Linked DNA regions of Callithrix jacchus. The protein of the gene in region 2 purifies or fractionates together with the protein of the main gene of each other region. This does not show direct contact. Links are inferred from orthologs where the notes say so. Each region holds a gene or a part of one and is shown on either strand. Other genes may lie near its edges. The genes, in order: HSP90AB1, HCK and CDC37.

What was found.
Region 1: the proteins of HCK (region 2) and HSP90AB1 purify together in Homo sapiens (affinity purification with mass spectrometry; 3 studies listed by BioGRID and IntAct, with this or other methods). This does not show direct contact. The link is inferred for Callithrix jacchus from reciprocal best matches to the Homo sapiens genes HCK and HSP90AB1.
Region 3: the proteins of HCK (region 2) and CDC37 purify together in Homo sapiens (affinity purification with mass spectrometry; 3 studies listed by BioGRID and IntAct, with this or other methods). This does not show direct contact. The link is inferred for Callithrix jacchus from reciprocal best matches to the Homo sapiens genes HCK and CDC37.

The regions. Positions count from the first base shown.
Region 1 is NC_133505.1:52,710,485-52,714,732, reverse strand, and holds the start of HSP90AB1 (heat shock protein HSP 90-beta), read right to left. Parts: upstream 2,815-4,248; 5' UTR 2,679-2,814; intron 2,195-2,678; exon of another isoform or gene 2,088-2,194; intron 1,793-2,087; exon of another isoform or gene 1,619-1,792; intron 663-1,618; coding exon 516-662; intron 1-515. UniProt on the Homo sapiens protein: Molecular chaperone that promotes the maturation, structural maintenance and proper regulation of specific target proteins involved for instance in cell cycle control and signal transduction. Undergoes a functional cycle linked to its ATPase activity.
Region 2 is NC_133506.1:7,101,765-7,104,220, reverse strand, and holds the end of HCK (tyrosine-protein kinase HCK), read left to right. Parts: intron 1-1,288; coding exon 1,289-1,491; 3' UTR 1,492-1,813; downstream 1,814-2,456. UniProt on the Homo sapiens protein: Non-receptor tyrosine-protein kinase found in hematopoietic cells that transmits signals from cell surface receptors and plays an important role in the regulation of innate immune responses, including neutrophil, monocyte, macrophage and mast cell functions, phagocytosis, cell survival and proliferation, cell adhesion and migration.
Region 3 is NC_133523.1:9,582,085-9,585,367, forward strand, and holds the end of CDC37 (hsp90 co-chaperone Cdc37), read right to left. Parts: intron 2,929-3,283; coding exon 2,746-2,928; intron 2,646-2,745; coding exon 2,574-2,645; intron 1,212-2,573; coding exon 1,056-1,211; 3' UTR 638-1,055; downstream 1-637. UniProt on the Homo sapiens protein: Co-chaperone that binds to numerous kinases and promotes their interaction with the Hsp90 complex, resulting in stabilization and promotion of their activity. Inhibits HSP90AA1 ATPase activity.

The DNA.
Region 1 (4,248 bases), on a different chromosome or scaffold from region 2:
GCTTACTGCAACCTCTGCCTCCTGGGTTTGGGTTCAAGTGAATCTCCTGCCTCAGCCTCCCAAGTAGCTGGGATTACAGGTACTCGTCACCATGCCCAGCTAATTTGTTGTTGTTCTATTTTTAGTAAAGACAGGGTTTCACCATGTTGGCCAAGCTGGTCTTGAACTCCAGGCTAGTCATGATCCACCTCCCAAAGTAGTGGGATTACAGGCATGAACCACTGCGCCCACTTTTGTTTTGTTAAAGCCCTTATCTTCAAAGAAAATCTTGGTGTATTTCTGTCAGCCTCAATCTGATTGCCCCTTATGTTGAGGCATTAGAACCATAGTTACACCAACCCACTTATCCTGGACATAGTCCCTTCCAACTTCAAAATGGCCACAAAGTAAGACAAATCTTTTTGGAATAGTTGCAGGTTTACCTCTTCAACAGTAGTCCCCAACAAAGGCCAAACTACCCCTCTCCTTCTTCCAGAATGTTAAAATATATGAAATGTGAAAACCAGAGCACTTACATCAGAAGCATTAGAAATCAACTCCCGAAGGAAAATCTCCTTGTTGGAATAGAAGGTATTGATGATGAGAGACATGAGTTGGGCAATTTCTGCCTGAAAGGCAAAAGTCTCCACCTCCTCCTCTCCATGGTGCACTTCCTCAGGCATCTAAAATAAAAATAGTAATTAATTACAAAAGAATATGAAGGCCCCATATTTAGAAATCCTAATGGTTGCCTGTCATTGGAACCTTAAAACGTGAGTTGAGTGGTGGTTTAAGCTGAGTACTATTATCCCTTCCCAAGAGACGAAAAAAGCATTCTCTTTAAAGCTCTCAGGCTACACACTAAGTGGGAAGCCAAATCAAAAGGAAAAAGAAAATAAGCTACAATGTTCTTCAACCAAATGTCACAGAACCCAGTTACTTAAAGAATGGTGGCCAACAGGCTCAGCGTCACCTGGTAGTATGGCAGAAACTCATAATCCTGGTCCAACCCAGGTATCTAGGGATCCCTGGTAATCCTTGCGCAAATTTAAATGTGAAAATCACTAGCTACGGTTCTTTATATTTGGGGGAGGTCAAAGTAACCAGTAGTTTAAGATTAAAATGGCACTAACGTTAAACCGGTCCCCCTGAGGTGTCTTCCTAAAATCAGCCTAAGGTGCAGGACTTCTGCCCCACACGGCAAAGAGGAATAATCAGATCCGTAGGCCACCAGCCCGAGGAGCAATTAAATCCAGACAAAAAAATCGAAAAACCAAAAGCTCAACCACGACCCCTTTACAGCACAGAATTACAGTACAGGACCAAACCCAACACAGGAAAGATGGTGGCCGTAGCCACCGGGCCGACTCTCGTCACTGTTGAACATGCATCGGCAGGGGCCACGCGAGGAGGGGACGCCACCATGTACCCTCCCTTCTCCCCAGCATCCGGGCACCGGGGCGGGGCGCCAGAATCCAGAAGCTTCCAGAACAATCTCAGCTCTCGAGGAGGGGCGGAGGAGGGAGCCCAAGAATCTTCCAGACCCTGCCCTCTCCCCACCCCTCCTCCACGGGGACTGCAAGAAAGATCTGGAAGGAGGAAATATGGGAGCTGGAGGCCGAAAACGCTTCTCCCTCACCGTGAGCCCTCACAGAAACAAAGCACCCAAGGCTTTCGACGCGGCCGTAAAGAGAGATGGTGAGGCCAGTCCCGCAGGGCCGTGCTGAGTCACCCCATGCGAGCACCCCCGCCACCCTGCGGTCCCCCTCCGGCGCCCTGTAGCCGCCTCCGGAAGTGGAGAAGCAAGAATGGCAGCGTCCTGGGCCGCGCGGCCACCACGTGCAGCTGCCCTCCGCCCACTCCCCCAACCCCTCAGCCCACCTCGCCACGGCTAGCAGCCGCCGAGAAAAAAGCCCACCGCCCAAGCACACAAGAGAAAACGGAGCAAAACTCAAGAGCCCTCACCTACTACCACCCTCACCCTGTAAAAATCCAGGGCGTTATCCACAGCCCACCCCGACATCTGGGCTTCCTAAAAACAGAAAAAGAAAACAGCAAAACGAAAGAGCAGTGAAGGAAAAGAAACCTGGCAGAGACTTCGGCCTTACCTTCAAAAGAAAAGGCTCACAGGTATTAGAAAGCAAGGTGGGCTGGCTGTCCAACACACACACACACACACACAGACAAGAGCAGCGCCGGAGCGACTCAAGAGAGCTATTTCACGCCCCAGGTCGCCCTATATAAGGCGAAGCACAGCACAGCCCCCCTCCCCCGGATCCCTCCGCCTTAAAGGAGTACCCTTGTCAACTCCGCACCTGCCACCACCAGCCCACCTTGACGTCATGGTCCGAAATAAGGGAGGGGGCAGAGAAGAACCCAAGCAGCGGGTCCACTCACACGTTTGCTTGTGACCACAGCCCCCATGTCTGCACGTCTAGGACATGACCCGCTCAAGAGCGGGGATGAGGAGTGCTCATTTGACAAAGCAGTGTCTCTACGAACGAGGACCCACTATCCTCCCTAAAAACCTGTGGGGCAGGCGTCCCCACACCCAAGGGCGGGGCTGGGGGAGGGGGACACCTAAAAAAAGCGGAGGTGGCTAACCACACCGACCGCCGCTCCCAGACGCAATCTTCTTCCTAGAATCTGCCCCACACATTTCGCATCCCGGTAGAAAGAATTGGAATTCGGGACCCAACCTTGGGCAGCCACAGATCCGACTCTCCCAGGCGCACAGGAAGGGCGGAGGCTTAGCTACGGTGGGTAGATCAGCGTTGAGAGAGGGCGCCGGCCGGGGCTGGTGGGGACTTTTTGCCGGCACGCGGCGGAAGACGCGGCGGCGGTGGCGGCACTGCGGCCTTTCCAGCAGTTTCCAGGTCTGTCTCGGCGGTCCGGCCCCCGCCCGCCCCCTCCCCGCGAGGCTCCGCCTCTCCGGCTGCTGCCCGGCGGGAGCAGAGTCTTTACGGCGACTCTGCCCGGCCTCCGGCTCTGACCGTCCGACCTACTAGCCCAATCCTCGGGGATGGGATGGAGCGTTAGGAAGGGATCGACCTACCCCTCCTTCCCCCAGTCAATCACACAACACCCGGGCACCTGGGGCGCCTCTGCGGGCGTCCACTTATGCAGACTGAGACTGGAAACAGAGTCGCTACTGGAGGGACCCCCTCCATTCCCTGCGGCCGCCACGTACACGGAGCACAGGAACATGCACCCTCCCTACGCAGGCACGTCAAGCCTTTTCCCAAGCTGTTTTGCTTTTTTTCCGCCCACTTCCCTCTTGCAGCTATTTGGACATGGGAAGGTGAGGAGTCTCCAGGAACCACTGCAGGGCAGTCAGAGCTCATGGAGGCCTCGTGACGACGCCGGCCAGAGAGCGGCTGGACAAGTTGTTCCCCTTTAGCCTTGGCGTCAGAGCGGGTAGGCCATGCCCCTGGCCAGTGAGCTGCAGACCGCCATGTCTGGCCTGGTTCAGCCCTTTTGCCTGCCTTCCAGTTGGCAAGCTGCCTTGCCTTTCCAAGGTCTCATCCGAAATCCTGCTGGACCCACAGCCCCTCCAGGAGAGAATAACCACTCCCGTGCCTTGTAGACGTCCTTCTACTCCCCTTCCTGGCCCACCCCTGGGATGCCTGGGAAGGGTTTTCCCCACGACCACCCACATCGTCCTCCCTCACCAGCCCTGTTACCCATCTACATTCCTTAACAAGCTTTGAATACCAAAAAACAAAGGCAGTCCCATGCTTTCCTCTTCATTGTCCCCGTCCACTGTCCACCTCAACGTGCCCGCCATCACTACCCCGATTTTATGTCCTTTCTCCCTTCCTTTATGGTCTGCAAAAAGCCAATGGCTGGGAGAAGTCTATAGGAAGGAGCGTTGGAGGCTCTGTTCCTGACCAAAACCGCAAACCCGAGGGAGTGTGATCCTTTAACATGCCCTCTCCTTCTAAGCAGTGGGGCCTAGCTCATTAAAAATCTGCTCCCCAGTTTACAGAGCATTCACAAAATCTCACTGTCCTGTGAGCAGATGAAAGTCAGTGTGCACTTTCTATCAACAGGAAAATGGCTTCAGTGACTCCCAGGGTCCCTCTTCTCAGAGCCCTTGCTGCACTAGCTCCCTTCCTGCTCTACAAATGGAGCAGGGATGTGATCTCACTCCTAGGACCTAAATCCAAAGCAGGAATCACTCCTGTGGGATGGGCTTCCCGAGCTGGATCCTTTCAGTGTCAAGACTCAGCAGCTTCCTGAAGACTTTCTAAATTGGAAAATCTCAAA
Region 2 (2,456 bases):
TTAGCTGGGCATGGTGGCTCGTGCCTGTAATTCCAGCTACTTGGGAGGCTGAGATAGGAGAATTGCTTGAACCAGGACCCGGGAGGCGGATGTTGCAGTGAGCCGAGATTGCACCACTGCACTCCAGCCTGGGCTACAGAGCAAGATTCCATCTCAAAAAAATAAAAGAAAAGAAAGAAATTGGAGAGCTCCATTTTAACCCTCTTAAATTTGAGATGACTTAAGTATAGAGACATACAAGTAAAGGAAGCACTTGAGTTCATTTATTTACAGCAGTAGGGGTCAGAATTGCAGTCACCTTTATTTTCTGATGCTTTGCTTTTTATTTATTTATTTATTTGAGATGGAGTCTTGCTCTGTTGCCCAGGCTGGAGTATACTGGCATGATCTCAGCTCATTGCAACCTCCACCTCCTGGGTTCAAGTGACTGTCCTGCCTCAGCCTCCGGAGCAGCTGGGATTACAAGTGTGCACCATCACACGTGGCTAGTTTTTGTATTTTTAGTAGAGAGGGGGTTTCACTATGTTGGCCAGGCTGGTCTTGAACTCCTGATCTCAAGTGATCCACACAGCTGGGCCTCCTGAGTTTGGAGTTTGAAACTAATAATATAAAATTGGGGATCATGGACATTGAATAGCTATTCTTATGAATAATAAAAACTTAAATTGAACAAGAAAATGGTCCCACCCACAGGGTGACACTGAATCTGGCCACCTGACTGCTTTGTCCTGAGAGGGCACTAGGCAGAACCAGACAACACACTGTAGATGCCAAATCCAGAAGGATGTGTTCTGCTACAAGCCACAAAATGACAGACTAAGAGTAACTGAAACAGAGCAAGCTATTACTCCCCCTCTGGCACTGGTGACTGGTTAGTTCAGCGGCTCAGCAGGACTGAGTCGGGACTCTGGGTTCCTGTCTCTGTGTTGATGTTCTCCGTGTGGTAAGATGGTGGTTGCAGCTCCGAGTATCATAAGTATCTCACAGTGTCCAAAGGAAGAGACGAAGGGTGTGTTCTCTAAAGACTGTCCTCTAAGTGGGAGGAAAACCTTTCCTGGCCTCTCCCAGCAGACCTCCCTGTCAGCTCCCATTGGCCAAAACCATGTCCCGGGCCCATGTCCTAGCTGCAAGTGAAGCTGGAGGAGGAAGTCTCTGGCTTCACAGTGGGAGGGGCTCAGCTTGCAAGGTGAGGTGGGGAGTGACAGCTGCTGGCGAGGCCACAGGGCCTGGCACCTCTGGGATCTCGTTTCCAAACTGCTTCCTTTTTACTTCCATGTCTCCTTTTCAGGGATGTCAAACCCTGAAGTGATCCGAGCTCTGGAGCGTGGATACCGGATGCCCCGCCCAGAGCACTGCCCAGAGGAGCTCTACAGCATCATGACGCGCTGCTGGAAGAACCGTCCGGAGGAGCGGCCGACCTTTGAATACATCCAGAGTGTGCTGGATGACTTCTACACGGCCACAGAGAGCCAGTACCAACAGCAGCCATGATGGGCAGGACCAGGGCAGGGCCAGGCACCCAGGTGGTGGCTGCAAGGTGGCTCCAGCACCACCCACCAGGGCCCAGGCTCCCTTCCTACTCCCAGACACCCACCCTTGCTTCAGCCACAGTTTCCTCATCTGTCCAGTGGGTAGGTTGGACTGGAAAATCTCTTCTTGACTCTAGCAATCCATAATCTGACATTGTCAGGAAGCCCCACACTTGATATTTCTGTTTCCTGGAATGGTTGGATTTCAGTTACAGCTGTGGTTTGGATGGGAAACTTTCAAAATAGTGAAATGAATATTTAAATAAAAGATATAAATGCCAAAATCTTTACCCAAAGGTTGGTTTTCCTGTCCTTCCAATTCCTAAATATCTATGTGCCTTCTTGCTGTATGACAAGTCAGAAAGTGTGAAGGACTCTCCCAGGGACCAGAAGTACAAAGGCAAGTGGGGTTCAGGCTGGGTGCTGTGGCTCTGACCTGTAACACCAGTGCTTTGGGACACCGAGTTGCTGGGGGGTGCTTGAGCCCAGGAGGTCGAGGCTGCAGTGAACTCTGATCGTGCCACTGCACTCCAGCCTGAGTGACAGAGTGAGACCCTGTTTCAAAAACAAAAAAAAGAAAGAAAGAGAAAAAGGAGAGAAAACTGGGGTTCAATGTGTGAAGTTTTCTAACTGCCCTAAAATAGTTGCTGGCTGGTATTAGTTTCCTCTTGTTCCTGTAACGAATTACCACACACTTGGTAGCTTAAGGCAACACAAATGTATAACCTTACTGGGCCGGGCACAGTGGCTCATGCCTGTAATACCAGCACGTTGGGAGACTGAGGCAGGCGGATTATTTGAGGTCAGGAGTTCGAGACCAGCCTGGTCAACATGGTGAAACCCAGTCTTTACTAAAAATACAAAAATTAGCCAGGCATGTTGGTAGGTGACTGTAATCCCAGCTACTGGGTAGGCGGAGGCACAAGA
Region 3 (3,283 bases), on a different chromosome or scaffold from region 2:
GAGTTTGAGACCAATATGGTGAAACCCCATCTCTGCCAAAATACAAACATTAGCTAGGTGTGGTGGCGGGAACCTGTAATTCTAGCTACTCAGGAGGTTGAGGCAGGACAATCACTTGAACCCGGGAGGCGGAGGTTGTAGTGATCAGAGATCACACCACTGCACTCCAACCTGGGCAACAGCTAGACTGTCTCAACAACAAAAATGTTGGAGGGCAGCACTGGCCATAGGGCGGAGAGATATAGCCCAGGATGCTGCCCCAAATGATGGTAGGAAGCTCTAAGGGGGCAGCAGGGGCAAAGGTGGGCGTGGGCAGGCAAAATTCGCAAAACCCTAGAAAACGTGACTTGGTTTACAGATCACTGCTGCCCTCTGGCGGTGATCAGCTTGGGCAACCCTGTATTCTGGAGGTCAAAGTAGGGACAGGGGAGTGGGTGGGTGAGAACTGAGGGTGGTAGGCTTCTAGGGCCTCTGGAGGAAGACTGTTCAAAGTGGTGGAGCAGCATGTGTGAGGCAAGGACCCACAACGGCTGGAGGGCAAAGGACTAGAGTACCAAGACCCAGCTTCCAATATTCCACCAGGATTCACTCCCACCCACAAGAGATGGGCTGCCTGAACAGCCCTCACAGCAGCCCAGAGCATCTGAAATCCTTTATTGGAACATCACTGCTGTTTGCCAAATAAAAGACACAGACAGCAGACAAACAGTGAAAACAGAGCCCAGTGACCAGAGCCGACCCCTTGGCTGGGGACCCTCCCCTACTACCTGATGGACCAGCCTGGCGACCTCTGCCCCTCCCCGGACCCCCGGGCCTTTGGCATAATGCTGATGGGGGGCTGCAGGCAGTGAGGCCCCTTGACTCAAAGCAGAGACTTGAATGGGCACTGGAGAGTGGGGACAGTGGAGAGGGCAGGGACGGTTGGGTGGGCCCCCCAGGCTGGGCCGAGCAGCGCAAGTGGAGGAGGCCAGGAGCAGGGGAGATGGCATCTATCTGTTTGCTGAAAAGGGGCGCATAGGGGCCTGCAAGCAGATGGTGGTGGCAGCTGGGGCAGGTCACACGCTGACATCCTTCTCATCACCTGTCTTGGGAACAGCTTCCAGCAGCGGGTCCCTGGGACCCGCCTCCTCCCCCTCCTTGGCCTCGCTGGCCTTAGAGTTCGGGACCCAGAGGCCGGAGTCAATGCAACGCTGCATGTGGTACTTTGCGTCCTGCAAGGAGAAGAGCAGGCAGGTGAGGCAGGGCTGCCACCTGGTGGCCACCCTGTTGTCCCCTGCACATTCCCAAGCTGGCTTCCTGCTCATTTTATTTTACTAATTTATTGATATAGAGACCGTCTCACTCTGTCTCCCAGAGTGGAATGTAGTGGTGTGATCTCGGCTCACTGCAACCTCTGCCTCCCAGGTTCAAGCAATTCTCCTGCCCCAGCCCCCAGAGTAGCTGGGATTACAGGCGCCTGTCACAACGCCTGGCTAATTTTTGTACTTTTAGTAGAGATAGGATTTTGCCACATTGGCCAGGCTGCTCTTGAACTCCTGACCTCAGGTGATCTGTCTGCCTCAGCCTCCCGAAGTGCTGCCCAGCTGGTACTTTAAATTTTATTTAACTTTAATTTAAATTTAGATAGTGCAATCTAGAAAAAAAGCCAGCAAATTTTTTTGGTAAAGGGACAGACTAAGTATTTCTGTTTCCGCAAGCCATATGGTCTCCGTCACGACTCAACTCTGCTGCGGTAGAGCAAGATCGGTTGTAGGTGATAGGGAAACAATTGAGCGTGGCTGCTTTGTTCCAATAAAACTTTATTATAAAAGATAGGCAGTGAGTCCTCGAGGTGCAGTTTGCAGGACCTGGTCTAGGTGGCTATGCCCATAGAAGCTTCTAGAACCTCAGGGCCAGTCCTGCAACTAGACCCATTTTACAGATGAGAAAACCAGTGTGGCCAACCAGTGAGCCAAGTGGTAGGAACAGAGTTAAAGTGTGTCCTACTTAGATTCAAACTCTATTACCACTTCCAAAATTATAGCCAGTGAGACCCTGTCTCTATAAAAACATATGTTTTTAAAAAGTTAGCCGGATGTCATGGTGTCAGCCTATAATCCCAGCTACTTGGGGAGGCTGAAGTGGGAGGATCACTTCAGCCTGGGAGGTCAAAGTTGCAGCCAGGGTAAGAGAGGAAGACCCTGTCTCTCAAAAACAAGCAGTCAAAACCCTATTAACATCCAGCATTTACCAGTCACTGCCATGTGCTCGGCTCCCCTCCCCAAACATTTTGTGGGCTGATATTGAGAGAAAACGTGGTCTGGATAAGGAAACTGAGGCTGGACGCCATCACAGCAACAGTGACTGTCAGTCACGAGGGACATGCACTGAAAGCTCAGCAATCATCTGCTGGATGTTGGGATACAGTAGGTGCTCAATAAATATGGGTGTATGCCAAGGTGACGTGACCCCCCCTGACTCCTTGGAGAAGCCTCGGAGGAGTACTTTCACCAGCCGGCTTCAGAGACTTGGGACCCAGGGCTGGGGGAGACACATTGCCTGCTGGAAAGGCATGGAGGGCCAGGGTTACTCACGGTGGGGTCCATTTTGCTGATGGCGTCTTGCAGCATTTGCACATCCTTCACATCGAAGCACTTCTGGAGTTCCTGGGGGTGCAGAGGAGCTGGGGTCAGGGGCTGGGTCCCTGTGGCCCTGGGGGTCTTGCTCAGGGCCCTCCTGCTGCCCGCCTGGCCTGGGGAACCGCACCTCCGGGAGGGACTCGTAGACCTCAACAGGGTCCAGGCCGCCGGGGCCAAGTCGCTTCTTGCGCTCCTCCTCCTCGTATTCCTTCATGGCCTTCTCAATGCGCAGCTTGGCACGGCCCCGCACACGCTCCTTGAAGGCTTCCAGCTCGTCGTTGAAGCCCTCCATGTACTGGCGATCCGCTGTCTACGGGGGTTGGGCAGTGCTCACTGGACCCAGCCCAATGCTCAGAAGGGACTGGGGAGCCCAAGACCCTCCAGCCGCAGCTCCTCAGAGGCGCTTCAGAGGCATCCCAAGTCTGTTCCTGACCTACATGAGGGGGTCCCTAAGTCTTGGGCTCCCCCAGCCAGGGACCTCATCTGGCATTTGCTAAAGACCACCTGCTTGGGAGCCCTGCTGTACCGCAGATGTGTGACACTCACGTCCTCAGTGTCCCTGCATAGGCGCCTCTAACTTAACATAGCCACCTCCCAGCCTCTGAGTGTCCCTCCAGCCTGCCTTGTCCTTGGTCTCCCCAATCTTGGTAAGAGTAGCCCTGTTC